Alligator mississippiensis: one gene and its partners. The protein of the gene in region 2 purifies or fractionates together with the protein of the main gene of each other region. This does not show direct contact. Links are inferred from orthologs where the notes say so. Each region holds a gene or a part of one and is shown on either strand. Other genes may lie near its edges.

What was found.
Region 1: the proteins of KPNA2 (region 2) and KIFC1 purify together in Homo sapiens (co-immunoprecipitation; 4 studies listed by BioGRID and IntAct, with this or other methods). This does not show direct contact. The link is inferred for Alligator mississippiensis from reciprocal best matches to the Homo sapiens genes KPNA2 and KIFC1.
Region 3: the proteins of KPNA2 (region 2) and HECTD1 purify together in Homo sapiens (affinity purification with mass spectrometry; 3 studies listed by BioGRID, with this or other methods). This does not show direct contact. The link is inferred for Alligator mississippiensis from reciprocal best matches to the Homo sapiens genes KPNA2 and HECTD1.
Region 4: the proteins of KPNA2 (region 2) and CTDSPL2 purify together in Homo sapiens (affinity purification with mass spectrometry; 4 studies listed by BioGRID and IntAct, with this or other methods). This does not show direct contact. The link is inferred for Alligator mississippiensis from reciprocal best matches to the Homo sapiens genes KPNA2 and CTDSPL2.

What each region holds. Positions count from the first base shown.
Region 1 is NC_081834.1:64,871,733-64,878,704, forward strand, and holds the start of KIFC1 (kinesin-like protein KIFC1), read right to left. Parts: upstream 3,004-6,972; 5' UTR 2,908-3,003; coding exon 2,830-2,907; intron 2,755-2,829; coding exon 2,598-2,754; intron 2,497-2,597; coding exon 2,446-2,496; intron 2,053-2,445; coding exon 1,860-2,052; intron 1,775-1,859; coding exon 1,576-1,774; intron 955-1,575; coding exon 808-954; intron 734-807; coding exon 605-733; intron 203-604; coding exon 86-202; intron 7-85; coding exon 1-6. Other genes in the region: PHF1 (PHD finger protein 1), read left to right, coding at 4,905-5,099, 5,175-5,256, 5,418-5,513, 5,590-5,699, 5,784-5,932, 6,523-6,618, 6,872-6,940. UniProt on the Homo sapiens protein: Minus end-directed microtubule-dependent motor required for bipolar spindle formation. May contribute to movement of early endocytic vesicles. Regulates cilium formation and structure.
Region 2 is NC_081831.1:6,286,895-6,294,699, reverse strand, and holds the start of KPNA2 (importin subunit alpha-1), read right to left. Parts: upstream 3,002-7,805; 5' UTR 2,918-3,001; intron 2,792-2,917; 5' UTR 2,745-2,791; coding exon 2,670-2,744; intron 2,513-2,669; coding exon 2,375-2,512; intron 1,691-2,374; coding exon 1,602-1,690; intron 697-1,601; coding exon 428-696; intron 1-427.
Region 3 is NC_081825.1:253,450,402-253,457,698, forward strand, and holds the start of HECTD1 (E3 ubiquitin-protein ligase HECTD1), read right to left. Parts: upstream 3,018-7,297; 5' UTR 2,887-3,017; intron 2,325-2,886; exon of another isoform or gene 2,134-2,324; intron 1,139-2,133; 5' UTR 1,009-1,138; coding exon 869-1,008; intron 1-868. UniProt on the Homo sapiens protein: E3 ubiquitin-protein ligase which accepts ubiquitin from an E2 ubiquitin-conjugating enzyme in the form of a thioester and then directly transfers the ubiquitin to targeted substrates.
Region 4 is NC_081834.1:1,637,347-1,644,774, forward strand, and holds the start of CTDSPL2 (CTD small phosphatase-like protein 2), read left to right. Parts: upstream 1-4,425; 5' UTR 4,426-4,553; intron 4,554-7,428. UniProt on the Homo sapiens protein: Probable phosphatase.

The DNA of each region.
Region 1 (6,972 bases), on a different chromosome or scaffold from region 2:
TGCTGACTGCAGAGGGGAGCAGGGGAGAGGGGTTATGAAGAGAACAGCCCCCTCCTCCCACAGCCTGGCCCAGCCCAACTCATACCTGCACTAGCTGTGCAATTTCCTCAAACACATCCGCCTGGGAGCAGGCTGGGGGGAACACGCGGTCGAAGCTGAAGTCGTACCTCGTGTTGCCTTTACAGCTGCGCCCGGTGTGGGACTGAAGATTGCAGGTAGCAGGGGAGAGCAAGAGGGATCAGCCAGGGGGCCTCATTCTTTGACCCCCCACTCCGTAGCCCAGAGAGTACCCATGGGGCAGGAAGCCTGCGCTGCTGCACCTGGGCATGACACTCTCCCCACCTCAGCCTTTGCTATCACTCTGCAGCTTGTGGCTATCCTCACCTGTTGCAGACAAGCTATTTCTGAGCATGGGCAGCAACCCACAGGGGTCCCCCAGGGAACAGGTCAGCTTTGTAGGGAATGGATTATACCTTTGCCAGCACCCCTGGGGGCTTCAACACTGCATGGAGCAGGGGCATCTCCAAACTGAGGCCAGACAGCCTGTGGCTGGTGCCCAGTGACCTAGGCCCATTGCTGTCCCCCACCCCCCTGCCTGGCTCACCTCCTCCGGCCGGGAGAGTACAAGTGCTCCGTTGTCCTGTGGGGGGAAATGCAAGTGCTCCAGCCCCTTCCCCGCCTCCTGTTCAGAGGGCAGCAGGGGCCGCACACGGCAGAACACACGGATGTTGCCCTGTGGAAGAGATGCATCAGTCTAGCCCAGGATCCCAGTGCCCTCCCACCCATCTGCCCTGGGCCCAGCCCCACCTTGAGCTCCAGCACCAGGTTGTGCAGCCGCCGCCGGTCCATCTCCAGCTGGTGCAACTGGTCTTCTCTCTGCGTTGCAGCCTGCAGCAGGGTTGTCACCTGGGCTTTCAGCTCCCTGTTCTCCTGTGTGCTCTGAGCCAGGTCCCCCTAGCAGAGAGCCCGAGTGTCACTTAACCCTGGCTCAGAACTGTCTGAAATGATGGGCATGGGAGGCCATAGCTTGAGGCATCACCATGACCTGCTGACAGGTGCTAACACATGGGCTCACTGGATACGAGTGGCCATCAGCATGGCCAAAGTGGGCTACTGGGGACAGGTGGGGGCAACCTGGGGCAGTGCTGCCTATGACAGCAGGGCACTTGTGGCTCTGGCAGAGGTGCCATGGTTGCAATAAGGGAAGCCAGGGAAGGCAGCACCATACAGAGTCACTGGCCTGGCCTGGACCAGGGGACTGTGACAAATGCCACGTTGGGAATGTGATGCTGGAGCAGAACCTGGTGCCATTACAGCCGGTGCCCACAGCCTCAGAGATGTTGCCATAGGAAACTGTGCTTGCGTGTCAAGCTGCAGATTGTACTCATCTGTCAGAGCTGCAGCACCGTCTGTCTCCACACACACAGCATGGAATAGCGTGCCAATGGAGACGGGCCGATGAGCACAACTGCCTGCCCCAGGGCAGGCCGCAGGACAGCAGAGCTCCTCATCAGAGGCTCTGGGGCCGGAAGGAGAGCCAAGCTGCTCTATGGACCCCTCAACTTCCAGACCCACCTCTCTGGCTTCCAGCAGGGCTGACAGGTCCCGCTTAGCCATCTCCAGGTCCTTGTTGGTCCCCTCGAGCTCCTTGTTGGTCCTAGTGGTGTCAGTGAGCTGCTGCTCCAGTTGGTGCTTCAGATCCGACAGTTCCTTCACTTCCTCGAGGCGCTGCTGGGCCTGCTCCTGGGACACGTGCAGCTCGGACTTCACAGCCCTAGAAGTGCAAGGGGCCAGGGTCACTCCCCGTCCGCATCAGGCTGCTCCTGCCCCCACCCCACCCCACCCCACCCTCCTCTTACTGGAGCTGGCGGTCCAGGTCCCCGTTACGGGCCAGCAGCTCCTGCCTCTGCTCCTCCAGCTCCTGGCCCCCCTTGCGCAGCTGCTGCACCTCTTCTTTGTAGATTTTGAGCTCTGCCTGCAAGTCGCTCACTTGGCCCTTCAGGTCCCAGGGTGCCCGCTTCTTCTTGCCACCCCCCAGCTCCAAGGCACGGCCTGAGGCAGAGAGAGAGATTGGGGGGGAGGGGCGCAGACTGTGGTGGGGAAGCCCAACCGGCCAGGCCAGCACAGGGGGAACTTGGTGGCACCTTATAAGTACATTGGGGCTTGGAGGAACATCTATTCACCAAGCCCTGCAGGGGAGGACAAATAATGGGCACAAACTGATCAAAGATCGTTTCAAATTAGACATAAGAAAAAGCTTCTTTACAAGCCAAGCGCCGAGGGGCTGGAACAGGCTCCCCCAGGGTGGTCTAGGCACCCGCAACGGCCATCTTCATAAAGTGCCTCGACACCCAGCTCGCCGGGGCCTCCTGCCCACGTCCGAGCTCCCTAAGCCCCCCGCCCCGCCCCGCCCCGCCCGCCGGGAAGCTGCGGGAGACGGGTTACCTGTCTTGGGAGCGGCTGTGGCTGCGGCCACGGCTAGCCTGGAGGCGGCCCCTGGGGAAGGAAAGCAAGGCAGGCTGGAGGCCCGGAGCGGGAAAGGCCCGAGCCGGGTGCTGAGGGAAGGGCTCTGCCCCCAGCCCCTCCCCCGCCCGTACCTGGGGCAGACGCGGCGTGTGCGGCGGGGCCCGGCGGCGGGGCGAGCGGGCGGCCGGCGAGGCCGGGCGGGGCCGCCGATCCGGGGCGCTGCGGGCGGGCGCTGGCGAGGCGGCGGGGCGGGCGGGCGCGGGCGGGGGGCTGCAGGCGGGCGCGTTTCTGCGGAGAGATGGAGACGTGAGCGGGGCGGCGGCCGCGGGGCCCGGGCGCCCCGGTTCCCGTTCCCGTCCCTACCTGCTCGGGGCCGGGCGCGGCCTCGGCGGCGGGCGCGCGCTTGGGCACGGGCAGGCGGGAGGCGGGCGGCGGGTCCATGGCGCTGGCGCAGGCGATGGCGGAGCCGGAGTCTGGGCGCGCGCGCCTTCCGCATTTGAAATAGGCCCCGCCTCCGCCACCGCGCGCAGCCAATCCCGCGCGCTCGCCCGCCCCGCCCCCTCCGCCGCGCCGCGGCCAATCGCAGCCCGCGGCCAATCCGCTCCCACCGCGCCCCGCCCCCCAGCCCCGCCCGGCCTGTGGCGGCCTGCGCGCTGGAGGAGGGGAGGGGGGTACGTGCCCTGCGCGCGCCCAGCGCCGCTCGCAGTTGCGCAGGGCGGGAGGGGGTGGAGCCGGGAAAGAGGAGAGGGAGGGGCGGGGCAGGTGCAGGAAGCGGGGGGCGGTGGGGGGGGGGCTGAGTGGGAGCAGTTATGGGGTGGGGGCGGGGCAGGTGGGCGGAAGTGGGAGGGGCTGGGGCAGTTCGGGGGGGGGGATCGAGGGCGAGAGACGGGATGGAGCGTTTAGGGTGGGAGGAGGCGGGGCAGTTTGCGGGGCTGGTGGGAGGGGTTGGGGCAGTTTGGGGGGTAGATGGGGAGATGGGGCAGTTTGGGGGGAAGTGGGCGGGGACGGGGTAGGTGGGAGGGGATGGGGGGGGCCTGGCAGGAGAAGTGGGTGGTGCACCAGGGGCACTGGGTGAAGGAGGGGTGACCGGGGCGGCCGGGGATGCTGCTGGGGTAGGGGCTGTGAGCAGGGGGGAGCTGGGGTGGGCGCGTGGGGCAGGGGCCTGGGGTGGGAGGAGACTGCTTGGCTCCTGCACTGGCTCCCCTGTCGGAGCATGGGGCTGCAGCCCCGGACCCGGTCCCATCCCCTTCCCCATCCCCAGGCAGTAGGAGTGGGGAAGGGGCTGCCCCCAGTGCCAGGAGGGGGCACTTGCAGACGATGCCTGGCCTGGCCTGGGGAGGGGTCCAGGGTGCCAAGGGCCTGGTCCCAGGCAGTGCCAGGAGGGGGGCGTTAGGGGGGGTCCCCTCCCCGGGCGTCTCTCCGCATCCCCCCTTGTTCCTCCCTGCTCCGGCGGCTGCGGCGGCTGCTGCTGCTGCGTCACTGGGCTCAGGCTGCTGCGATGGAGCCTCAGCGGGTCCTGCTCTTTAGCCCCTGAGGGCCCCGCGGCCTCTTGGCCCGCAGATACCCCTCCCCGGCCGGGGACTGGGGAGTGCCAGCCCCCACCCCTGCAGGAGACACCAAGACCTGGTAAGGGCGGGAGCGGCCAGGGGCAGGAAGCTCCCCTCCCCCATCCTGGAAGGAGAGGCAAGGGGCTCCCCTGCGACACCGTGCCCCCCTTCTCCGGTTGTGACCCACCCCCAGTCAGTCAGAGACCTCAGGGAGTTCCTGCACCTGAGATGCTCTCAGCCCAGACCCCTGCCTCCCAACCCTGATGGGGGTCCCTGGTCTGAAACACTCTCCCACCTCCCATGCAGGGCACCCCACGGACCCCACCTTGGAGGCCCCACCTCCAAATTTCCAACCCTGCCCCAGAGACCACCCCATGTCCCAGGGTCCTGCCCCCACAGATCCCCAGAGAGGGGCTCACATAAGGAAGACCTTCCCCCAAATAGCAGATCCAGCCTCCTAGATGTGAGACTCCCTAAACCCCACACCTGCCAGAGGGGACCTGAGCTTAAGACCCTCTCCCTCTCCCAAACCCCACGCTTGCCAGAGAGGGCATAGGCTGAGACCTCCCCGAAACCCCACACCTGCCAGAGGCCCCAGGCTGACACCTCTTGGGAGCCCCACAAATCCTCCAGGTTCTGCGAAGCTCCTGCACTTGAGAGACGTGTCCCACAGTAAGAGCTCTCCAGCACCAGGCCTGGAGGCTCAGACCTCTTGCTGCACTCCTGGCCTGTCCTCCCTCACCTAGCTGGCGGCCTTTGAGTGGGGTGGAGTGAACCACACCATGGGAAGGAGAGAGGGAGGCAACTGGATTTGGGGGAGGGGGACTCAGACTCCTAGGTTCGGCAGCTGGGACTGACCCTCGCTGCATGCAGCAGGTTGGTCACAATGTGATGGCGAGCGAGCTGCCCACCCAGTCTTCCCGGGTGACGCGCACGACCTCACGCCTGGCCTCCGGCCCCTGGAAGCGCCCAGCAGGTGCCCCGACAGCCCCGGTCCCCGCTCCCAGCCGGCCCCGCTTCTGGGAGGGGCAGGATGTGCTGGCTCGCTGGACCGATGGCTTGCTCTACCTGGGCACCATCAAGAAGGTGAGTGCAGGGCCTGGGCCCCCACCTCCGCCAGACCCCACAGCCACCCCCCCTCACACCGCTCTCCCTATACAGGTGGACAGCTCGCGGCAGGTTTGTCTGGTGCAGTTTGAGGACAACTCCCAGTTTCTTGTTCTCTGGAAGGACATCAACCCGGGTAAGCAGCTGGCTCCCAAGACCCCAGCCGGGGGCCTGGCTTAGCAGCATCCCATGTGGTGCCTGGGCTTCATCACAGGTTTCTACTCCCTCCCCCCACCCCAACCCTTGCCCACTGGGTCCCCCAGGCAGTCATGGGGCTGGTTCTGTCATCTCTTGCAGCGGCAGTGCCTGGTGAGGAGCAGACCTGCTGTGTGTGCTACACGGAGGCTGTGAGCGCAGAGAACCAGCTGGTGCGGTGTGAGAAATGTGGGCATGGTAAGTGTGGCTCCTGGCCCCTGCCCCATGGCTCCCTTACCCTGCCACCCATCTCATCTATGCTTTGCCCCCACAGCTTACCACCAGGAGTGCCACCTGCCCACAGTGCTGGAGGTTGGTGGCAATGGGGCAGGAGTGCCTGGCACCTGGACGTGCAGGCAGTGCGTCTTCGCTGTGGCCACCAAGGTGAGCTGGACCCCCACCCCTTTCCTGACCCCTGTGCCCCTTGCACCCACTCCTGGCCTGATACTCTCCCTCTCTCCTGAGCAGAGGGGCGGTGCCCTCAAGAAAGGCCCCTATGCCAAGGCCATGCTGAGCATGAAGATGGTGCTGCCATATGAGCTGAAGGCTCTGGAGTGGGACCCAGTGCATCTGACTAATCGGCAGCAGTGCTACTGTTACTGCGGTGGACCGGGAGAGTGCGTGTCCTTCCCCTTCCTCCCTGGGGTCTCCCAGATCTAGAAGGGCCTGGAGCTGGCTCTGGGGTGGTGGGGGGTTTCCCAGAGGCTTTAGGTCAGGGTCCATCCTGGTGTAGGCACCAGTCTAGACTAGCTCAGTTGGAGTCCAGGGCAGGGCTCAAAACTCTGGAGCAGGCATTAGAGCGGGGAGTTCTTACCTTGAGTGGCAGCCTGGGTGCAGGCCCCTCAAGGGGCACCCCTGGAGCTGGAGCCAACACGTTCTGGACGGGGGACACTAGGTGTTGGGGCTGAAGATTTTAGGCTGGGACCATCCCAGGGGATGAGCTGGGGAGGTTCCAGATTGGGCTCAGCCTGTGGCATGGGGCTCAGAAGCAGGCAATGAAGCTGGAGAATTTGGAATCAAGGCTACTTTGGGGTTGGAGCAGGATTCGCATTGTGGGGAGCCCTGGGGCCTTCCCTTGCATGGGTGCTGGGGACTAGCGAGGTGGGGGGGGAAAGCTAGTGGTCCTGGCAGCAATTGTGCACACCTGTCAGATGAGGCAGGGCTGGGCTGTGCACTCAGCCTGCTGCCCTCCTGCTTCCTCCCACAGGTGGAACCTGAAGATGCTGCAGTGCTGCCGCTGCGCCCAGTGGTTCCATGAGGCCTGCACCCAGTGCCTGAGCAAGCCGCTGCTCTATGGTGACAGGTAAGGCGGGGGCGCTGAGCTTCCCCAGTGCGGGGGTACTCACTCTGTCCTGTCCCATAGAAGGGGGGTGCATGCAGCCCAGGAAGCCACCTCATTGCTCGATGGTGGAGGTAGGGTGTAGTGTTTAAGATCCCTCAGGTTGGGGGTGCCAGGTGTTGGGCTAACGCTGCTCTTTCATCATGGGGTGGGGGTGTCCATGATTGGAGGTGCTGGGCTGACACTCATTCTGGTCCCTGGTGCGGGTCTCTTGCAGGTTCTATGTCTTTGAGTGCTGTGTCTGCACAGGTGGCCCAGAGAGCGTGCGCAGACTGCCCCTGAGATGGTGAGTGACCCCAGTCCCTCTGTCCTGTCTTA
Region 2 (7,805 bases):
GTTTGCTAGTGTGCTCCTTTGATGACCTAGCATTCACAAAGTAATATGTTATCTCCTCCCAAAAGGCCCCCCTCTCTCACAGATTTCAGTTTCAGGATTAAGCAGAATTTCCTCAGAAGACTTTAAAGATCAGACAGCACTAAGATAGAAGAGTCCTGTCAAATAGCAACACCCTATAGATTACCAAGTCTTGCTTGAAGTCATAGTAGATACAACTGCTAGCCAAAGCAAGACAAGCAGCTGTAGCTGACCCGCTCCAGGTTTGTGTTCCAGGCTTCTTTTGCTAGACACCCAGGTTCAGATTTTTGGAAGAGTTCTCCATATTAGGCAGGGAAGACATGAACAATTTTGAAACTCTGGCCCCCAGTGACTTTCCCTCATAAATTAATTGGCCTGAAAATGATGTAAGTGCAGCACACTGACATACCTGCTATGTTTCCTAAAGCCCACACAGCCTGTTCACTGATGTGAGTATGAGGAGAAGCCAACAGGGAGATAAAAGCTGGTATGGCTCCACCATCTACCACAGCCTTTGTTTGCTCCGACGTGCCAGAAGCAATGTTAGTAAGTGCCCAAGCAGATTCAAACTGAATAGGGCTACAGTCTGCTCTCCCTAAAAAGGAGACAAACTTGGGGATCAAGCCAGCCCGAATTATGTTGTCTATGGGGGGCTGTTTCTCTCTGGACAGCAGTTTCCTAAGACAGAAACAAACACAGGGAGTTAATTTTTTTGGTCTACTACAACCTGAACAGTAGATTCCAATTTAGTCAGCAGAAGACCCAAGTTTTACTTTAAAAAGATATTCTTCCAACAGTGGCAAACATCCAAAGAAGTTCAATAAAGACTAGCTGAACACTACATTAAGTGGTTTAAAGACTGCTTTTGACAGATCCAGCTTTGTATTGAAACTGTTTGTTAAAAAAAAAACCAAAATCTGAAATTAAGCCAAGCTACTTGGTTGTGGAAAAGTAATAATGCACTTGGAACTGCTTGAAGTAAATGGCAATAACTGCCAGAAGCTGCACTACCATCTCAGGTAATCATCCTCCTACCTCATTGTGCAGGACTTTTCAAACTTCAACTATTATGCTGTATTTGGAACCAACACTCTAGGGTGAAAGCCTCCCTCTTTCACCTCCACTTTCATACATTAAGCTGAGGGAATGCTCCTCAGTACTAGCATCTCATATTCCAGCCTTACAAATAAATCGCAATACCCGCCACCTCTATAGAGCCGAGGATAAAAAAATCTGACACTTCCAACATCCACATCACCCTTAACACCATGAGACAGAAGGAAAAGTACAGCTCAAGTGCCAGGTGAAGTCTCATGCTCAGAGGACACCTCTAAACAGTCAGAGAGCACCAGCGCTTGTGTAATTCCATTTACGCTCAGTCCCTTGAATACTGACCATAGCCCAGAGAACTCATTTACTTACCTGAGGCCAGATAACACAGCATTATTTATTTACTATTAGCAACATTTGCCCAATATTAGCCTGCCAAAATCTCAGCTTTATGTTTGGTGCTTGTGCTCTGCGGAGTTAAACCCTGTTCCTTATCCCCAGTCACCAAATGACACTTACACCAAGTCGCTTACCTTGCGGCCTGAGTAGCCTGCAACTGCAGTTCTATGTTGTTACTGCTAATTCCTTTGACTATTTCTTCAACAGACCAGTGTGCACAGACCTGTCCATGGGACAGAAACAGGTTTAAGAACTACGTTAGGAGAAGCAGAAACTTCATAAGAAGTTTCTCTCTGCTTTGGCAAGGATCTATGGCGTTGTGCTTTTGACATCACCAAGCGTAAGGCACCAGGTGTAAGTACGGTGCTGTACAGGTACTCAAGGCTCTTTGGGCGAATCCGATATCCTTTATTTGACCAACTTAAATAGTTGGAAAACATCTTTTTTAGGAAGCTTTCGGGTTTAAAAACCCTTCGGCAGGCTGAGGATGGCCCTGCAGTTGGTGCGTGCTCTTCCCGAGTACAGGTACGCCTCACTTAACCTCGCCCCGGTTGACGCAGTCTCGTTACTACGCTGACGATCTATTAGAAAACACGCTCGTTCAAAGTCGCTCGGTTATACCATCGTTTGGCTGCCAGCGTAATCGGATCGACCGTCGCGTTTATCAAGAACGCGACCGCGTTCAGCAAGGAGTCGCTGTACACGCGGGACTTTCAGCGCCAAGGGGGAAACCAGCCCTAGTCTGCAATAAGCCGTAACCTCTTGCAATCAGAGGAACACTTTTGGACCCTCATCTTGCTGGGACCCCGTGACCCTGGCTGACTTCCTGCCCCTGGGGCGGGGGCCGGACTCGCCCGTCTCCCCAGGTCCCTTCCAGCCCCGACGCCTACGACGCCACTGCCGGTACCTGATTGCCCCTGTTTTCCTGCAGAGGAGAAGTGGCGTCGTCCGGTAAAGTGCTGACGTTTCTCCTTTTAAGCATCTGGTCGTCTTTCTTGGCTTTCCTCAGCTCCACGTTGACTTCGATACGCCGCCGCCGCATTTCCTGAGAGGAAAAGGAAATTGTCACGTTTTTTGGTTTTTTTTTAATTTTTAAAGTGCAAAGCGGCGCTTTAAAAAAAACAAAACATTAAAAAACAACAACGACGACAAAAAAAAGACCCCGAAACCCAGCGACGCCTCCAGGCCGGGCCGGCGCTCACCGTCGTGTCCTTGCCCTTGTTCTTGAAGCGGTTCAGCCGGGCCGCGGCCGCGGCGGCGTTCTCGTTGGCGGACATCTGGGCCGGTCGGGGCGTCGCAGGCAGCACGGATGCAAGAGGCAGACCTGGAAGGAAGCCGGGGGTGAGAACAAGGGAGAGCCGCAGGATCCCCCCGCTCCCCCCGGCCCCGGCCCCGGCCCCGGCCCCGGCCCCGGCCCCGGCCCCGGCCCCGGCCCCGGCCCGCACCGCACCTCAGCACACCTCCGCTCCGCGCGCTGGCCGCCGCCGCACTGACCCGCCGAGCACGTTGCCGCCGACCCCGCCCCTCCGCCGCGGCCCCGCCCCCGGCGGGATTTAAATTTCCCGCTGCCCCGCTCCGCTATTGGTCCGTTCGAGCCACAGCAGCCTCCTCATTGGCCGGTTTGAAAAAACCAGCTCGCCTCGCGAGGCAAGCGGAGCTCTCGCGAGACCCTCTCCCTCGGTCGCGTCACAACCCCCGAGGACTGCATCTCCCGGCGTGCAGTGCGGGACAGAGGGTCAAGGAGACTACGACTCCCGGCAGGCCTCGCCCGTGCTTCACTCTGCCCGCGGGGGAGGGGGAGGGGGAGGGGGAGCAAGGCATGCTGGGAGGTGTAGTCTTCCCCCATGGGTCCACCCCCAACTGTACACAGCTCGGGTTTAGAGCGAGCAGAAAGCAGGGAAGAAGCTCATGCAGCCAAAGTGTGCAAGGACAATTTTCTTGCCATTTTCCACTTGGTCTAATGAAAGGGATCATTTTGGATCTAAGAGTTCTAGTTTTTTGTATGTCAAAGACTTGAGCGGCCTTTTAGGGCGCTGAGCTACGGGAACAGCGCTGCCCGTGACGAGCAGGGATTATTCAGGCCCATGAAGGCTGCCGCGTCCTGCACCAGCTTCCACTCCTGGCTGGGTGGTGTGGCCCCCCTCCAGATCTGACTGAGGCCATTTCGAGTAGATGAAGTGAGGATGAGACCCGAACGGTGGCTCCCGACCGCTGCACGACAACAAAAATACTCGCTGCCGGGCCCAGAGATGGAGCAACAACACTTGTTAATCCGCAGGATCCCAAACCACTAATAACATCAGGGCTGCCTGATCGCACCTGCAGAATACACCAACCCCAGCAGTCCTTATATGCGAAACCTTTCTGGGCCCTGCGGGACGAGGACCAAGAAAGCCAGCGGCACTGAGATGTTACGCGGCACCCTGCTTTCCAAAAGCTCAATCGAAACCGGATTGTTACTGAGCAACAACGACGCTGTCAGCCACCTGGCAGAGCTCCTGGAAGAGGAGTCTCACACGCTGCAAGACAATCAGCACCTGCCTTCTCCACTGCAAAGCCTCAGTGCTTCCCATGCATCTCCAGCAAAACCAAAGATGTGATTTCCCTGCTCTACTTGGCACTGGTGAGACCGCAGCTGGATACCACGTCCGGTCTGGGCACTGCACTTCAACAAGGACGTGGCAAAGCTTGAGAGAGTCCAGAGAAGAGCCACTCGTGTGATCGGAGACTGGCACAGCAAGCCATACGAGGAAAGGCTGGACATCTTCAAGAGGAGACTGGACAGTCGCCTTGCTGGGGTCACTTGACCATGGGTGACTGGTGCCTCCTGAGTCTGGGGGGCACCAGATTGCCAATGGGGGACGGAGGTCTCCCAGCGGCCAATTGCCGAGCCAGCGGTGAAACAGGAATGCACTTCGGGTTCTGCAGCTGGCACTTCCAGGGGGTGCACGTGCACCCACGTGCACCCCTTCCATGTTGCCAGTGACCCCACTTGTCTTTCCTGCCTAGTGCAGGGGGCTGGACCCGATGATCTTCCAAGGTCCCTTCCAGCCCCTACAACCCGTGTCTCTATGAATTAACAAAAAAAGATCAGAATCCAGAGCACACTTTTCCCAACACAGCTGGCTGGAGTCAAGCAAGCAGGAGCCTGTGCAATACAACCCAGCTGTCCAGATCTCACCCAGAACGACAGGCATCGATTAAATTAGAGCGTTTTGACCGTGCAGATCCAAAACCCAGGGTCGCTTACAGGTGGATGACCAGAAGCCCCTGGGAAATGACACTGCAAGCAAAGACAATAGGAAAGGGTCAGAAGGCTTGATTTATTCACTCTGAGACGGGGCTTATTTTGTACGTAGTTTATTCTGAGCCTTAAAATAAAGTTTGTTCTGATTCTTAAAGTTCTTAAAAGTCTTAAAATAAAAAGGGGTGATGTGAGGCTGGGTAGCCGAGAGGGAAGCAGACAAAGCCACCTGTCTGCAGGGGACGACAAGGAGCAACGGCCCTAGACTGCCAGAGCTGGTTTCGGGCTGGACATAAGGAAGAATTGCTATTTGCAGTCTGGAGTCGCGTCCCAGGGAGGCGGTGCCGTCCCCAAGTCCTCCAGAGGGGCTCGCGCAGTTGGGATCACTTGATCTCAGGCCAGAGCAGGCGGTTTGTTTCTTCAACTCCTCATTCCTGTGCAGGCAGCAGCACCGAAGAGCCGGTGGCAGACAAGGGGCAGAGTGCAGGTGGTTGAGGCTGAAGCTGGTCCCACCTGCTTGTCCACAGCCCATTTCCTGGAAGGACATCACCCAGCTTGCATTTCGCCCCAAACGGACGCACTGCAGCCTCCAGGGGAAACTCAGACCCCGGCCCCATGCGCAGCGCCGTGCACGGCCCCGCGCCCGCGCCCGCGCGGCCGGCAGCGCAGAGCAGGGAGGCTAGGCCCCGCCCACTCCGGGGCGCGGCCTCGTGGCGAGAGCGGCCGGGGCGGGGGCGGGGCGAGCGCGCGGGCGGGGCCCTTAGAACGCGCCGCGCGCCGCTCTCGCCGGGTGACCCAGTGGCCTAATGGATAAGGCATCAGCCTCCGGAGCTGGGGATTGTGGGTTCGAGTCCCATCTGGGTCGTACCGCAAACACGTTTTTGCGGCGGCCCGGCGGCCTCCTCCTTGCCGGCAGACGCTTTTAACCGCGCCTGGGCCGCCCTTGGCCCCGGGGGAAGGGCCTGGGAGCTGCCGAGGGCTGAACAATGGGCAGCGATGTGCAAACTACGGCGGTGCAGGGGGGGCTTGTTGCTCTGGTGGGAGCAGGGAACAACCCCGCTTATCAGGGCTTTAGTCCCTTTAAACGTCTCCCCCCGGTCCTCTCCCAGGGCTTTTGCTACTGCTAGTCAGGCTTTACTAGATGGGAAAGACATTGTCATCATCCAGCCGGGCTGGGAGCAGGTGCCACATCTGTCCCCGGGCACGCTGCACAAGTGTTCGCTCGCCAGCGGGACCGGGAGGCACTGGTACGCGCACGCGAGGCGCGTCGAGCCAGGGTCAGGGAGCAGCCGGACACACCGCTGCGTTTCTGCCATTGAGTCACCGAAGATAACGATTCATGGTTTTTTTTAAAGGAATTATGCCAGGACAAGACACGGGCACGTGAACGATTGTACTTTGTGCCGGTATAAAAATGGTTATCCCAGGACAAACGCAGCGTCTTTTTGTAGGCCTGTTGCTCAGCACAAAGGTACCACCATTCCTCCGCCATTACGACGGATACCCCAAAGGGAGTGAAATTGCGGGGAAACATCCCAACGCGGCTACATAGGAGCATGGGCTGGGGTGTTACACAGCCGGGGGTTATGACTGTATACAGTTTTCTTTAAGGACCCCACATACAATCCGCTGAGACTCGGATATAAATCACGTACAAAAAAGAAACTTTGTTATAATTCACAGCACCGCACCCTACCCTCCCTCCAGCCGTCTATGCAACCTAGCCTGCGCTTTCTTCTCTCGCGCTTTCTTCTCTCGCGCTTTTGGACTCTAAGCCAGATCATTTCTTTACTAGTAGAGAAGTTTAAACAACTTAAATATGGTGATAATAAAAAAACACACCCAAAAAACCATGCTCAGCTGCTTTAAAAAAACAAGACACTTTGCATCCAGGGAGATTCTGTTGAAATCCTTAATTTCACAGATACAATCATTCAAACACGAGCGATATCCGTGATATACAACTCATTTAAAAGGAAGAACATTTCCATGTTGGCCATAGCAATGAGCCACAAAGAGATGTCTGAAAACTTTGTTTTATTTCAAGATTTCCCACTGAGGGCAAAACCCAGCCCTAAGACCGCAGCACCCTCCCACATGTGCTTGGGCTTGAGCAGTGCCTCGCTACAGAGCCATGTGGCAGGAGCACCGGAGCGACCACATGCATTGATTAATTGGAACAGCGATCATCCTCACTAAGCCACTTAGCCTGAAACAAAGGGCCAGCCCCAGTGCTGCGCCTGGCTTTTTGATGGAGGGCTCCACATGGTTTGTCTTCCTCTGGCTGGAAAGATGTGTTTTGGCACCCAGCCCACGGGATCTTCCCTATCACACCTGGCATTTTACAATGCTTTGCATTCAGTGCGCCGTGCAGGCATCAATTAATTAACTGATTCATCCTCCTGCCATCCGCCATCAAATAGTGGGAGGAAGCAACCTCACCAAGCAGATTTTTTGAAAACAACGGCATGAAAACAGAAGAGCCAACCCAAAACAAGAATAAACCTATGGGATTAAATTAATCTCAGCGAGTGGAGTTATACCCACTGAGCCAAAGCCATTGGGGTTTGCATGTGTATTCATATTCCTGAGCCCGGGTTGAAAAATTGAAAAAAGAAATTGAAACTACCCGAGGGAGCAGCAGACTCTTCTCTTGAGAAGAAACGATGGCTATATTTCTCAGGATGAAAAACAACATTGCAAAAAGTCTCCTTGAAAAGAAGGTTTGAAGGCATCACAAGAACGCTAGCCAGCCTTGAAAACTGTGCACCCACGATAGCCACCGTGTACCCATGCCCTGTTCTGGTGCCCCGGCCCACCCTGCCTTCTGCACGCTGCATTTCTGTGCCGGTCCTTGTACCGCTCCCAAGAATGGCTTTATTTGTTCTGCCCTGTTTTCTCCTGCAGGAAAACAAGTCCCCAAGGCTAATGGCTAGAAACCTGTATCCAGAGCGGGAGTTTGGGGATGCTGCGCTTGTCTGGCAGGCATGGATGCGCCCCGTGGATGTTCAGGTGAGCTTGGCCCTCGTGGGGGGCTCGGCACATGCTCCTCCTAGGCGGTGGCAGAGGGAGGCTAGCTGGGGCTGCTGCAGCT
Region 3 (7,297 bases), on a different chromosome or scaffold from region 2:
TGACAGCATGGGGCTGGGGGCAGAGCCACAATCTGCTCCACACACGCTCTTACCTGTGTAACCAGTGTCTATCAAAGGGGCATGCGGGAGCGGATCATGGCTCTGCCCCAGGCCACAGCCCCACGGTCCCAGGCCTGGCCACACCTGCCCACCCCACTTCCTCACAGCCACACTCATCTGGACACGCCCACTAAGTTAAGTTTTAAAGGCTCAATTTTTACTTATTTTTTTCTTTTTTAAGATCAAAATGCCTACCTTCCAAAACCATTACTTGGCGTTTACAGAGAGTAATGTTATTACAATAAGTTGTTATAAGCCACAGATACTTAGGTAACAGTCCTAAGCGACAAAGCCAGTTATGTTAATTTTTTTGGCTTGCAAAGTTCAAAGCAAGTGCTACTACGTCTTAGAGCAAGGGAAAAAAACTTCAGTGATGCAGGCATTTTAATATAAATAAAAAAACCCTGAATTTTAGGGTTAAAAAAGTCAAAATAATTTAATTAAATAATTTAATTCCCTTTAACAAAAGAAAACAGGAACTTTTTATTTTTTTTTTTTTAACTTGCAAGAGGCCTTTTAGAAATGAATCAGCCAAGACGTGCCAGGATCAGCTACTCAATGTGTCACACTTCTTAGCATGACATGTTTATTTTGCAAAGGAAGTCATGATATTATGGTGGTATGGTCTGAACAAAGATGTAAAGGTTTTGTTCTGCATATTTTCAAGAGTGCAAAAGGTTCTAGTTTACCACGTCCAATTTTGTATAAACTTAATAAGGAGAAGTGGTTAAATAAAATTGACACAATCTACGCAATGGATAAAAAAGTCCCTACTCTTCCCAACACAAACAAAAGGAACCATACTTACGTTTCAAAACAACGATCCACGTTGTCTGACATCAGAAGCAGCATGCATAGCTGTTCCAGCGCTATTAATTGCATATCCCTTTCATCCCCTTGCCCCATTTGCAGCCATTCAAGCAACGTGTCTGGATCCACATCTGCCATGGTTTATAAAAGTTGATTTTTGCTTTAATTAAAAAGTATCCAAAAATAGCCTTTAAGTGTTCAAGCCAGAGTAAATCTAGTACAGTGAAATTTTCCCTTCAGTCAGACCCAGGGCTTTTGCAGTCTTCACCTAAAAAAAAGAAGCAACTCATAAGTATATACTCATCTCTTGCATTTGTGTCACTCAAGATTTTACAAGACATTAACCATGACCAGTTTTTTTTTTTAAATGACAAGAGTTAGTTAGTATGCTCTACTTTAGTGGAATCTTCTTCCCCAGAGACAATGATGAAAGCTTTAATCTATTACTATTTTTAGTAAAAACTAGAACTTGGAGGCAGGAGTGGAACGGCACTTCCTAACCTGTTATATCTTTGTAAGCTAGTTTCTCAGATAAGTATTATCTGAAGAATAACAATTATTTTACCTTCTCAAGCCAAAGTGTAATTTCCCAAGAGTTGAGCATTTCTGCACTCTCAGAAAGATCTTTCTATAAAAGAAAATGGATCTCTCTCTCTCTCGATTAGTACCCATTCAGAAAAGGCATGAAAGATAAATTTAGTGAGGCAGATGCTGGAAAGGGAATGTTTACTCAGCATTTCCAAATAGTTTAATTTTCTAAAATAACAAGTAAAAAAAGGGGAATATGATTTCTAAACAAAAGGACCAGAAGAGTAGAATGAAGATCTCAAAACATTTGCCTTTTAAATGACATGCTGAGGTGGTGTTTCAAATATACAGAAAATTGTATGTTCATAAGGAAAACTGTTTAGAGGCAGGAGCAGGCATACATGGCAAATGGTGCTATTTACCGATCCAATAAACACGCTGCATAACTGGCCAAGATCAAAAGTCCCTTTCTTAGTACCTTATTAGAGCCATGTCCTGTGTGCCTATCTATTATCCAATGTCCAATTAATCCAGTGATTCTCAGCTAGGGATCTGCGGCACCCTCCTGTGCCTTGAGACCCTTTCAAGGGTGCTGCAAGGTGCCATCCAACATCAGCACGGTTAGGATTACAAATGTGCTTTACAAGACAAACCCGGAGAGCTCACACAGAAACCCCTAGCTATGGTCTTCCCGACTTCTTTGCCACAGAAATGCTCTGCTCTTCTGCAATCAAGAGTCCAGGGAAAACAGCTGGGATGCCCTGCGCCTAAAAAACAAGAGCTCGAGAACCACTAAATCAAGTTGCATCAACTTTGTAAGCTGCGTCCTTCAGAGCCAGCCTCCCCCAGACACCGCAACTGCAACAAAGGCTTGAAACAGGCCCCCAGCGAAGGGGCGCCAGCTCCAAACCTCGTAATCAAATCAGGTAGGAAAAAACAAGACGAGCGCGGCCTGAAGGCCAGTACCGCCCCCTCCCCGGGATGAAAGGCCGAGACGCGGGGTCCGCTCGCGGGCGGCGCGCACGGCGGGGCCGAGCCACAAAGCCAGGCCCGGCCGGGCAAAGTCCGCCGCCCGCCGGGACCCGGTGCGGGGCTGGTGGCAGCTTCAGCCCAGGAGGGCGCAGGGGGCAGCCCTCTTGGAGCCCGCAGCCGTGACGCGGGGCCTCCTCCGCGCCGGGGCGGCCGGGCCCGGCTCCAGCCCGCGGGGATTCCCCGCCCCGGCGGCGGCGCTGGGCCCGGCTGAACACCTGCTGCCTTCCCCCCACGCCCGCGCTCCGGGCAGCCCCAGGCAGCCGCCCTCGCCCCGCACCAGGCCCGGCCCGGTCCGGCCCCGCTACGCCCCCTCCCCGCCCGCCCGCGTGCGGAAGGCCTCGGCCTGGCGGCGCCCACCGGCCGGGCCCGGCAGCGGCGCTCGAGTTGGCGGGAGGCCGCAGGCCGCGCGGGGGACCCGACTGGCGGCGGAGACGAGGCCCGTCCCCCGGCACTCACCCGCGCCTCGGGCGCTCCTAGGGCCGCAGGGAGGCCGCGAGGCGGCGGCGAGCGGCTGGCTTCCCTCGCGCTCCGCCCGGCGGGGCCTGCGGGAGGGGAGCGGCGCCGCTGCCACGGGGGGAGGAGCCCGCGCCGCCGGCCTCACAGTCACGCGCGGCCCCGGCCCCGCGCCGCGAACCGCCCCCCGGCGGCCTCGGCCCCCGCCCCGCGCCGCCCCGCGCGGCGCCGGCAAACCTGCCTCCCAACCCAGGACTGGGCTTTAGAACCGTGGGCAGCCAGTCCCGGCGCATCGCGGGGCCGCGCGCGTCTGCCTGCCCCTGGGGGCTGCGCCTATCCGCCCAGATACTGGGCGCAGATCCAGCAATAAATCCAGAGATCCGCACACATACGCGGTAACAGACTGATAGATACAGTCCAGTCTGTAACCACAGACAGATACACGTACATAGTGGTAGACAGACACAGACACAAACAGATACATGGATGTATGGATAGAACCCACTCCATAGTGACAGGCAGGCAGATACCCCTAACTACGGACCAGTCCGCACGCACACATCCCCAAAACAGCCTGCAGAGGTGACCACGGCTTCTCAGGCTTTTCTCTACAGCCGTGAGGAAAAGCTGCTTCCTTCCACCTTCACTCCTCCCGGGAGACATGACCACACAAAAGTTGAGAAGAGACTAGAGGGAGGGGAAATTTGCCAGGAGTTTAATTGTACCCTATTGACACTGAAGTTTTCAAATAGGGCAAGCAATGAAGAGGCATGGCAAAGTTTTTTTGGTGGCATTTTTTAGGTACAGTTGGCTGAACATTTCTGTACAACACATTTTCTACCAGCACATTCAGTTTCATCAATCTTTTTATTTTTTATTTTTTTTTAATCAGGCCTTGGCAAGTTTTTTCATTTAAAATGTAAAGAGATGTTTGATACCAGGTTTCATAGATTCGTAGATGTTAGGGGCTGGAAGGGACGTCACAAGATCATCGGACCCAGCCCCACTGCGCTTGGGCAGGAAAGACTGCTGGGACCCCAGCAAGGTGAGCATCCTATTTGAAATTTCTGGGTTTATTTTATGAATTGTGTAGGTGTTTGTACACCAAACAGTGCTAATATTGTGGGGCATCCTTAAAAGGTTCTCATGGCACCCAAGTTGAGAATTGCTAGTTTTGAGGTACCTGCATAGAGAATAGAAATTTGAAAAAAGAGGAGTCGCTGGGCTAGTGGATAATGGCTACAAACTGAAGCTAAACAAATTCAGACTTGGAATAAGAGTTGAAATTATAATTACTAAGGTTTGTAGTGGATTCTCCACTATACATTGTTAAAAAAAGAGTTTTAATATTTTTTATAAAATACGTGATCACGAAATAGAGAAAAATAGGGCTGAAGGGACTTCAGGAGGTCATCCAGTCCAACCAGTACTGAAGGCAGGATGATCCCCATCTAAACCTCTTCTGAAAATATTTGTCTATCCTGCATCTAAAAACTTTCTGTTGACGGAGAATTAGTTCAAACTAAAACTAAACAGCTAGGTCATATGGCTATTGTTGTGCAAGAGGTCAAACCAGAGGATCACAACAATCCCTTCAGGCTTTATAGTCTATTACCCTACACGTAGTTCATGCTGATATGATTTAAACAGTATTTATCTTGTCATCATGAGTAAGGCATAGCTATTTGAAAACCATTTTTCAAAGTACTAGCCCAGGCCGAACAGCACGTGATTTCTAAACATAGTTCAATCACATAATATTATTAATAGTTAAATAGCATTTATCCAGCCCTTTTCTTGTTTCAAACTGCTGTGCAGACATGAACTAATTAACATTCACAGCTCTCCTTGAAGGTATAATGAATTCTTTATGTACCATACAATAGTGTGGTAGGCCCAACACAAATGTAGAAAGATGTATCCTTGCCCCAGAGGCCTTCTAATCTAAGAACTTGTTTCTGTAAGCATTCATTCATGTATGCAACTTCATTCACAAGGGGTCCTATTTAAGCAGCTGAAAGATCAGGCATTACATGAATGATATGCTGACAAAAAATGGAAGAAGAAAAAGAATGTACCACAAGGTTTCCATGTTTATTTTCTTTGTGTGCATATGTATTTGTGTGTATTGCTATGGTTTAATTCTTTAATTCATCCCTATTTGCCCACTATTTAGCCTTTTTACTGAGTTTACTACCCTTAAGTTTAACTCAGGCTATTTGCCTTTTTGTTCATTTAATTACTTGGGACCCAATTCTGCAAACACCATCAACCATAGACCGTGTTGTATCAAGCTAACTTGATCCTTTACAGCTACCTTCAAACACAATAATATTTTCTTATATGGACACGCCTTTTTGTGACAAAGTCTGAGTACTATCACACCAGAGGCCTGATTTTGCCCATAATTTATAACCTCAGAATTTGTTGGTTATGTATATTATCATAGCAGTGTCTCTCAATAGTCTCTTTAGTACATACTGTAAATAGTTACACAATTGTCCCATATAATTCTAAAAACAAAGGAAGCAAAGTGCTCTGAAATTAGTGTTAAGGACCAAAAAGTCTTCACAATAATTTACTTTGTAGAATCACATGGAGTTTTGTTAGGAAACTTAGTCATGTGAGGCTTAATAATATAAATATTGTAAATAAGATTATAGCATGTTTGAATGTCATTACTGCCTACATCATAGACATTTCCTGTCATTAGGCGAAGAGGTGTATTCAGAGGACAAAAAGGCAGTGGCAGCAGTCATGCTGTCTCACACAGTTGGAACCTGTCATATGCCAGTGACTCCACATTATTCGTTCAGAAATCCTGCCTGTAGAAAGATTCTTGCTTATTCAAAGTCTGTCTCAAGAGGAGGAAAACAGGTTCATAGTCCTGTTTTTCCAATAACAAAGTTAGTTGAATCTGTGTGTCATATGTTGATAGTGTGTCACTGGGTCCAGCCCTGCAGAGATTTATGCATATGTGGAACCTTATGCTTATCCATTGTGGTCAAGGGATTTTTCACTTAACATAAAAGTAAGAATGTGCAGTCTTGGAGCTCTGCATGAGCAGTGAGCCATGAGCTCACTAGCCAATCAGGGCAGACTGGCTGAAGTGAAGGCTGCTACTGTTCACCCTTCCATCCCTCTTCCTCTGCTGAATTCAGCAGCTGGATAAAGGAGGGGACAAGGGGCTGTACTCACCTCATGGGCTCCAGCCGGACCCCACGGCAAGAGATCATGTGGCACAACGAAAGAGGGGGAGGTACATCTCACCACTGCATCCCCTCCGGATTTGAGCCCTGACTCAAATTTGTATCATAATAAGTATGAGAGAATCTTCCATTACATTACTTGCAGGAATTGACATCTCTCAAAATAATTGTTTTATATTGTCTCTGCTTATCACCAAAACATACTAACTATTCATCTTCAAAACTGACTGATTTTATAATACATTTAAGTTGAAGCAAAAGTGGCTAGTGGAGGGAAATAGAGATGGGTGATTAGTAAAAAATATTTACCTCAATTACATTTGCATACATATTTGCTTTAAGTGAATTTTCATATGAGCAAAGTTCTGCTAACATGAATATTCAAAAAGAAAATGTTGAGCCTATAGCTAAGATTTGTTTAATCATTAAACTAGTTTCAAACAGAAGTCATTTATAAAGTTTAATTCCTCTAAATAGGGAACATAATACCATGTGACAAGTGACAGAATTTGAATATGAAATCATGTGAAAGAACAATCACATTAGTTTTAGCTTGTAAAAGCTATTTAAACATTCATGAATAGTAAACAAATTGGTAAAAAATTATATCCTGCTCATGAATACCACATGAAGAGCTAAATTAATTGTTCACTGCACATGGTTCACCTAGTTAGTAAGTGCAGTGGGTACTAGGCCTATATTCTAATTCTGTGTGTGGCACTCACCTCTTTGTACGTTTGACCAAGTCCCTTACTCTCTGTATATCTCAATTTGTCATTTACAAAATAAGAGGAGTGTAGTAATAGCCATCTTAGAGGGCAGTTGTGAGACATACCTCTTGAGAGATATTGACTTGTTCAGGTAGAAGGTGCTATGTAAGTGCTCAGTATTATATTTGGAAATAAATCGCATTTAGCTGGAACAGTGATTCTCAACCAGGGTGCCATGGCACTCTGGGGTGCCTTGAGATCCTTTCAGGGGTTCTGCAGGGTGCTGCACAATGTTAGCACCATTACATGTACAAACATGATTCACAAAATAAACCCAGAGAGTACATTAACACATATAGGTACGTGTGCTTGCAGCAGTTTAAGTAGCAGTGGCACAAATTTCTGCCGAAGAATTGTGCCTCAGCACATGTGCCTGAACATGCACTTTGGTGTGGGGCAAATTGTGCCACTTGAGGCAAACTGACCCTGCTCAGG
Region 4 (7,428 bases), on a different chromosome or scaffold from region 2:
CAACTCCCTGAAACCCCAGGGGACTGGGTACAAAGGAAGAGGAAGTGACAAAGCGGATGATGGAGCTATGGGTGAGTGGAGCCGGGACTGATGACAGTTCTGCTGCTCAGCTGGCGCAGTCCTATAGTAGTTACATTTGTCATTAATAAACTGTCTGCCCCCCCATACCCACAATTACAGGGCAAGCCATTTTAAGCAGCATGTAGATAGAAGGATATTAAAATGTGAGGAATCCAGTCTATTCTATCCCCTATAAATATTTTATTAAATTACGGTATTGAAAATGGCCACTTAAAAGGGTTCACTCAAAATCACATGAGTATGGTATTTCAAACAATAAATTCTGTTAACTACATTTTTGCCTCCTGTTTTTCTACGAACTGAGATAGATGTGCACGTAGAATACTATATAGAATAGATCCAGGGCAGGGTCAATAGAAATCCACAGACAAGAGGAAAAAAATTATTATCCTTGGAACCCATGGGTCTCCCTGCTGTTTCAGCATGGACTTTTCTGGTTTGCACAGAATGTCTTGTCTACAGTAGAAACAGTTCACTTGTACAGCTGTTAGCAAACCCATATTGGTGCAAGTTCTTTTGCTGCTATAACTCATGTTTGCAGGACTGGTGTAACCATGTTTACAACACAGTTTTCCCTGCATTGTTAACTATGACATGATTTTTTTCACATCCTAACCAAACACAGCTACGTGAGCTAAACTCTTAAATATAGATTCAACCTTAGCCTTTGTTTAAAAAATAATCTAGTTCCTCTGACTACATCCACATTAGACTTTTGTTCAGAAGTAACACTGCATTACAAGTGCAGGCAAAGCATTGGCATTTCTAACAGAGATCACACAGGGGTACTTCTTGTTCTTGGTCAGAACCAGAAGCTTTATAGGATAGCTCACAAAAGCTGTAGTAAGCACACATTGAGTAATATGTCCCTTGATCCTGATATCTAATCAAGATTGCTTTATGCCCTGAAACACAAGATTTAATATCCCTTCCAAATGGTCATTAATTATGAAAACCCTGGATATTTTTCAGATCTATATAAATATCTGTGCCTTTTAAAATATTTATTGCCACCTGTGGCAATGAGCAGCACCATTACTCATGTGTTGTATGACCAAGTATTTCCTTTCTTCATGTTTAATGTCCTGATTTTTAAAAGTAATTGAATATTACCTTCATCTTACAACACTGGATAAAACCATGTCATCCAGCCCAGTTAATTTGTATTAACAGACTACCAGTTATCTTAAGTAAGCTTCAAAGTGCCTATGCTATATTTTTCACTGCTAATCACACAAGAAGTAGCCAATTAATGTGTTTCATGTGGCTGGTGATAGTCTCATGTTTTACAAGGATAAGACTATAAGTTTTGAATATGCAGGGGATTAAATTACTTCCATTATTTTTATAATTAACCATCTATTATCCTTGAAAATTAGAGCAAAACTGATTTTATATCTTCTGTTAAGGAAATATTACACTTCTACAGTGCAGATTCTATAAAGCTTGGCTCTACAGCAGCAAAGCAGTTCAATTTAATAAGCCAATAAATATTTTTAAATGACTCTCCCTTTGCCTTTATAATAGTGTCCAAATTTAGATTAAAAAAAAAGAGTAAATCCAAGTGGAATAAAATGTAGAAAAAAAAGAAACAACATTTTTTCCTGTTCCTTTGCAGTCAAAGGTCCTTTGGCAGAAACATTCTAATTTCTGCAAGAGACTGAAAATATTTTTTGCTTCCATGAAATGCATTAGTCTGAGAATTTGAGATGAAGATTTCTCTTAATAGAAGCTTGCCAATAAAACAATAACCACTAATGGAAAGAAACATCAGACAGACACACAGTTTGTAATTGTAAATTCCTCACAAACTAGTGTTTACTGTACACTTCTTTTTGTCTGCAAGATGTTGATGAGGCACTCCTTAACCAATGCAAATACTGTTTGTAGCGTCTGCAGCTCTTCGTAAGAAGAGGCACTCCAGAAAGTTGCGATTAACAACATTTTCCATTTTTATGGAACCTTTTATGAGAGGATCTATTCTTAAAACAACAATTCAAACACCACAACAACCCAAAGTAGAAAAATATCACAACAACTATTTTACAACTTGGAACGATACGGTACCTACATGTAATATAAGCTGCCCAAAGATACAGAGCTCAAATCAGAGGGCAGAAACAGAAGGAGATATCCTACTATGCTCTTTGACATGTCACTGTCTTGCTTGCTGGCTAGCAATTTGTTAATAAGTCTTAGGAACCCCAGGAAACAAGGAAATTTGTCAAAATGAATGGCATATTGTACACTGGTACAGTTTGAGATTGTATGACAGGATGCAGCTCTTATCCACCCCACCTGCAAGGCTTCCAAAGGCCATTACAGCACATCAATACTCCGTCGAGTTTTTTCTGCACCTGACCTAGACCCAGAAATGCAGTCAGTGCTGATCTCAAGCCCTGACAACCCCATGTGTAGGGGTAGGCCCCAACAGCCAAGGTGTGCTCTGACAGGAACCCCACTGGAGAAGTGCTCGTGGTGCGGCCCTGTCAGATTCCAACGAATCTGTGAATTCTGCCTGAAGACCTCGTCCCAGGTTTGCTGCTTGAGTCCTGTGAATACCTTGTCGCTACAAGGACAAGAGAAGGAAGGAATGAAGGATGGGAACCCCAGTACTGAACAGTCATCCTTCCTTTTCCTCCCATTGTGTGCCAGAGCCGATAGCATATATTTTTTTTTCTCCCTAATGTCAATGGAGAAAATAGGTTTTCTGGTCAAATGCACTCAGTAACCTAAACCCCAGACATGCAGAGACCCCTGTCCTACCACCTCCCTGCCACGAGAATTTCTACGCTACAATTCCCAACCCACACAATTTCTCCACCCAGAAGCACCTAAAAATGGTAAGGCACTGTCTTTCCCCTACAAAATCTTTCCCAAGATTTTGCAGGGGAAGTGTATCAACAGCAAAACATTAGTCCTCCCCATAGTCTTCTCAATACGCCAAGATTTCTCACTTTATCCAGTAAGTCTCTTCCAACGAAATCCCCCGCACTTCTTACAATTTGTATTCAAGAAAAAGGGCGGGTTCTTCATTCCTATTAAATAACGTTCTACTGCAAATTGCTTTGTTCCCAGTGTTCAGTGTAGTTGGCCGCTTGAGTTAAAGCCCACGTCTTCACTACCCAAAGCTGAGGGAGGGGAGAGTAGGGTTCATTAAGACAGTCGATTCCTGTTAGTTGTCACACTACAAGACTCTTGAGGAAACAAGACACCAGTAGTGTTTGCCCTGAGGTGGGAAGGCAAGATTAATGCAGTCCCCCCCTGCCAGGACTGACATCAGCGAGCTGCATCAAGGTAACGACAGAACCCCACCGCGGCGGGATTTTACAGCGAGATACCGAACGGCTGTAAAAATCCACGGCACCTTTTTGGGCACAGACACACAGCCGAAGCCTACGGGATAGTCCAGCCTGCCGACATGAAAAGTATGAACTTCTGTGTCTTCAGGAGGGTTTTCTCTCCCAAACACAACCCGCCACCCTGCCCCGAGGGGAGGCACAGCTTCAGTCCTGCACCTGCGCTGCTCACCTTCACCGCCCGGTCCATCTGCTCAGCGCTGCCTTCTCCACCTCACTGCCTGCCTCTGCCTCTGCCTCCTCACCAGTTTTCCTCCAACATCCGGCCCTTCTGCTTGCACTTGGGGCCACTCTTGGGGGGGGGGGACGGCTGTGGGGTTCCCACTCGCCAGCAGCAGGCGATAGGAGCGCCTGGACCAGGGCTGTACCCCCCGAAACTGTGGGCAAAGGGAGGGGGAGTTGGGGGGCAAGAGCTAGCTGGTATTTACAACCCCCCCATCCCTACAGCACCGGACCCCCACTTCTCACCTCACCCCCCACACAGCAGCACACGGCCCCCCCCCCCATGTGGGGTACTCGCCTTCCCGCCCACAGCACAGCTCCCCCTTCACACCCAGCCCCCACACCCCGCCAGGCACCCTCCAGCCCCCCCACACCACTGAGGTACCCCGTGAGGCACTACCCCAACTCCATGACGAGCCCCCTCAGCCCCGCACGCCTCATGAGGTGCTCCCTCGCCGCCCCCCACACCTATGAGGCCCCCCACACCCCATGAAGAGTCTCCTCAGCTCCCCCCACACCCTACGAGGTGCACCCCCGACACCCCACGAGTCCGCCTACACCCCGAGGTGCCCCCCCCCCACGAGGTAACCCGTCACTGCCCGCCACAGCCCGTGAGGAGCCGCCTCACCCCGCCGGCCGCCCGCGGCCCCACTGAGCGCCGCCCCGCCCCCCCCGGCGGCGGTGTGCGCGTGCGCGGGCCCCGCCCCCATCCGGGTCCCCGGTGCGGTGCAGCAGGTCGGTAGGCGGGAAATGGCGCCTGGCTGCTGAGCGGCTGCGGAGCGCCGAGCCCCGGCGGCGGCGGCGGCGGCGTCAACACAGCGGCGCCCGCCCGCCCCCCCCCGGCCCCCGGCGCCGCCCGCCCCCCCCCGCGCCGCCGCCCCGCGCCCGCAGGTGAGTGTCGCCGCTTCCCTCCCTCCTCCCGGCACCGGCTCCAGGTGGCCGCGCTCGGGGCCTCCCCGGCGTGAGGGGACGCGCCTCACTCCCGCCCGCCGCCCGCCTGTCACCCCGGCAGGCCGAAGCCTGCGGGCATCCCCCCCCCCCCCCCCCCAGTGCTGCGCGCGCCTCCCCGCCCCCCACACCAACGGCTTGTTTGGGGGGAAGCTGCCCCCCCCGCCCGCCTCGCAACATGTGGCCCCTCGATGGAGGCAGGTTTGGGAAACACTCCTGTGCCCCCTCGCAGTGGGGGACCGCCGCCTCGATTTGTAACGACCGCGCCTCCCCGCTTGTGTATGCGTGTGTAAAAAATAACAGTGAGGATCACTGTGCGGGACTCGTCCGTCCGTCCGTCCGTCCCTCCTTTTTCTGTTGTTGTTGCCGCCGCCGTTACGGCGAAGCATTCACGTCCGTTCGCTAGCTGCCGCTGCCTCGGGCAAGTCACTTAACCTCTTCCGCCGGCTCCCCGTCAGCGAAAGGGGAGGATCGCCGCCCCTCGCAGGGTGCTGCCGCACGAGTTAGTGTTGCCCGAGGGCCCCGCGCCAGCGTGGAGCGAGGGGTTGCTCGTTAACTCTCCCGGTGCGCTGACGGGACAGCTCGGGACCTTTTACACACGGGCGGACGGACGGACGGACGGACATGGGCGTGGAGAGATGATGGCTGACCCCGAGTGCACGTCGAGTCCGTGACGGTCGGTCGGTCGGCCGGCGGGGGGGCTTACGGCGCCCCATGTTTTATTCTTGTGGTCTGCTGCATGCTGCTGTGTTTACGTCTGTAAAACCGGCAACTTTTCCCCAAAGATCATCCACCCCCCCCCCCCCCCCCCGAAGTTACGATTGTGCTTCCGAGTTGGATGGTTAGAAAGGCCGAGAGCACGCCCGACCGCCGCGTCTCGCCTACCTGTAGATACTCGAGATGCCGTAAACGCTCCTTGCAAGGCAGCTTCCCAGTCCGGGCCAAATTCATGCAGATTACATAAGTCATTCTTCACTTATTTCACCCGCCTCAAAATATATAGTGTGGTATTGTGGTTGAAACTTAATCCTTTTCCCGCCGGCCTCAGGATAGGGGCCGAAAAACGACTACATTTGACTTCGTAGTTATTTCCCCCTCTACCCTACATCAGTGTTGTGAGGCTTCGCATCGCGTTATTAGACTTTTTTTTTTTTTAAGTTGTTAAGGGGGTTCAGAAAGTAGTGTTGTAATTTATTTTTTAATCTTAAAAATGCACATGCAAAGTGATGACTACTTTCCATCTTGAAACCTACGCTCAGCCTAAGGGGAGAAGAAGCGTCGCTATGAAAGAGGTCTTGTTCTGCTCATAGAGACGTGGGGCTGGGAGGGACCTCCAACCCCCATATTCTCCAAAAATGACATAAGACAAACTGTATTGCTTATTGGCAGGTAGGCAAGCTGACTAATGTTCTCAGTTCCCTTTTTAATAATGCTAATTCAAATATACTCTTCAGCCCTGCAGCATCTTTCATTATATATTCCCCCCTCCATAGTAGTTTTTTTTAATGATGTCCATAGGTGTTTGTCTTTGCTTGATCCATTGTTTAGTGAAAACAAGCAAATATTAAAACTGGAGATTATCCTGCTACTCTGACTTGTAGGAGTAAAACAAGTATTTTTACATGAAGCTGTTGGGAGGGGGTGCACAGTGCAGGGGAAGACCACCACAACATGCCTTCGTAATAAGGAGGAAAAAAAAAAACAAAAAACAAAAACCAACAAACCAACCGTGTACAGGTGGAGTAACAGCAAAAGATGAAACAAAAAGGGTTTGATCACTAGCTGTTGTAATTAGTTATCTTGAAAGAGCATTAAACTCTTATTCAAAAGCTCTTCAAGTTAAGAGGAAGAAAGAGGAGAATCCCAAATAAGGATGATTGAAATTTGTCTCTACCTAGAACTTTTGTCACTTAAAAAAAAAAAAAAAAAAAGAAAAAGTATGTTAAGTGATGTCATGCACACTTATATGGACTTGAGTATTTTCTGAACAGTTCCTTTGGATTGTCTGAGGTTTTCAGGAATAGCCAGTTTGTAGAGTGGTCTGTTTGTGGTGCAGAGCAGCAGATAACTGGTTACTTTGGTTTTCACTTATCCTCAGCCACATAAGTGACCTGTCATCTAGCTAGAAATTGGTTGTGGCACACTTTAGGACCCATCTAGTGATTTAATAGAAGTGCACCATTTGCCCCGTTTTGGCTGGTGTTCTAAACCTAAGGTATCTTGGTCTCAGTTTCCATATGGTGAGGAAAACACAAATCTCTGCCCCAAAGCTATCCCATTAGTAGGGCAGTGCTTTTTGGTAGCACCAGTTACGTCTAGTAATGGCAAACAGATTTGAGCTTGTTTCCTGGCACTTAAAAGGGATGTTAGGAATGGTTACTTACCTTCTTTTTTTTTGGGGGGGGGGGCCCATGTGGAAATCAGAGTTTGTCTTCTAGCAGTGTATTAAAATATTAGCGATTACAAACAAACTAGTATTATAATCTAAACTCAACTTTACTGCTTCATGGGATTTGAGCTGTTCCCTAACCCTCAGTCTGCTCATTCTTTGGACTGTCCCTAACCACCTACTGCCTGCATGTTTATTGTTTTTACATTTTGCTCCGCCAGGCCAAGTACAAGAGTCAATACAAATAGGACCTTAATTTGTACTTTATGAAAAGTTATCCCAAAGCCGTCTCCTCGGAGTTCCATATTCCCATTTTCCCCTTCTTTTCCCCCCACTCCTCCCCCTCCCCCCCAGCATTTTACTCGACTCCTTCTGATTCATTAGTATTAAGGAGGTAGTATATTAATCAGTATGACCTGTTATCAACCT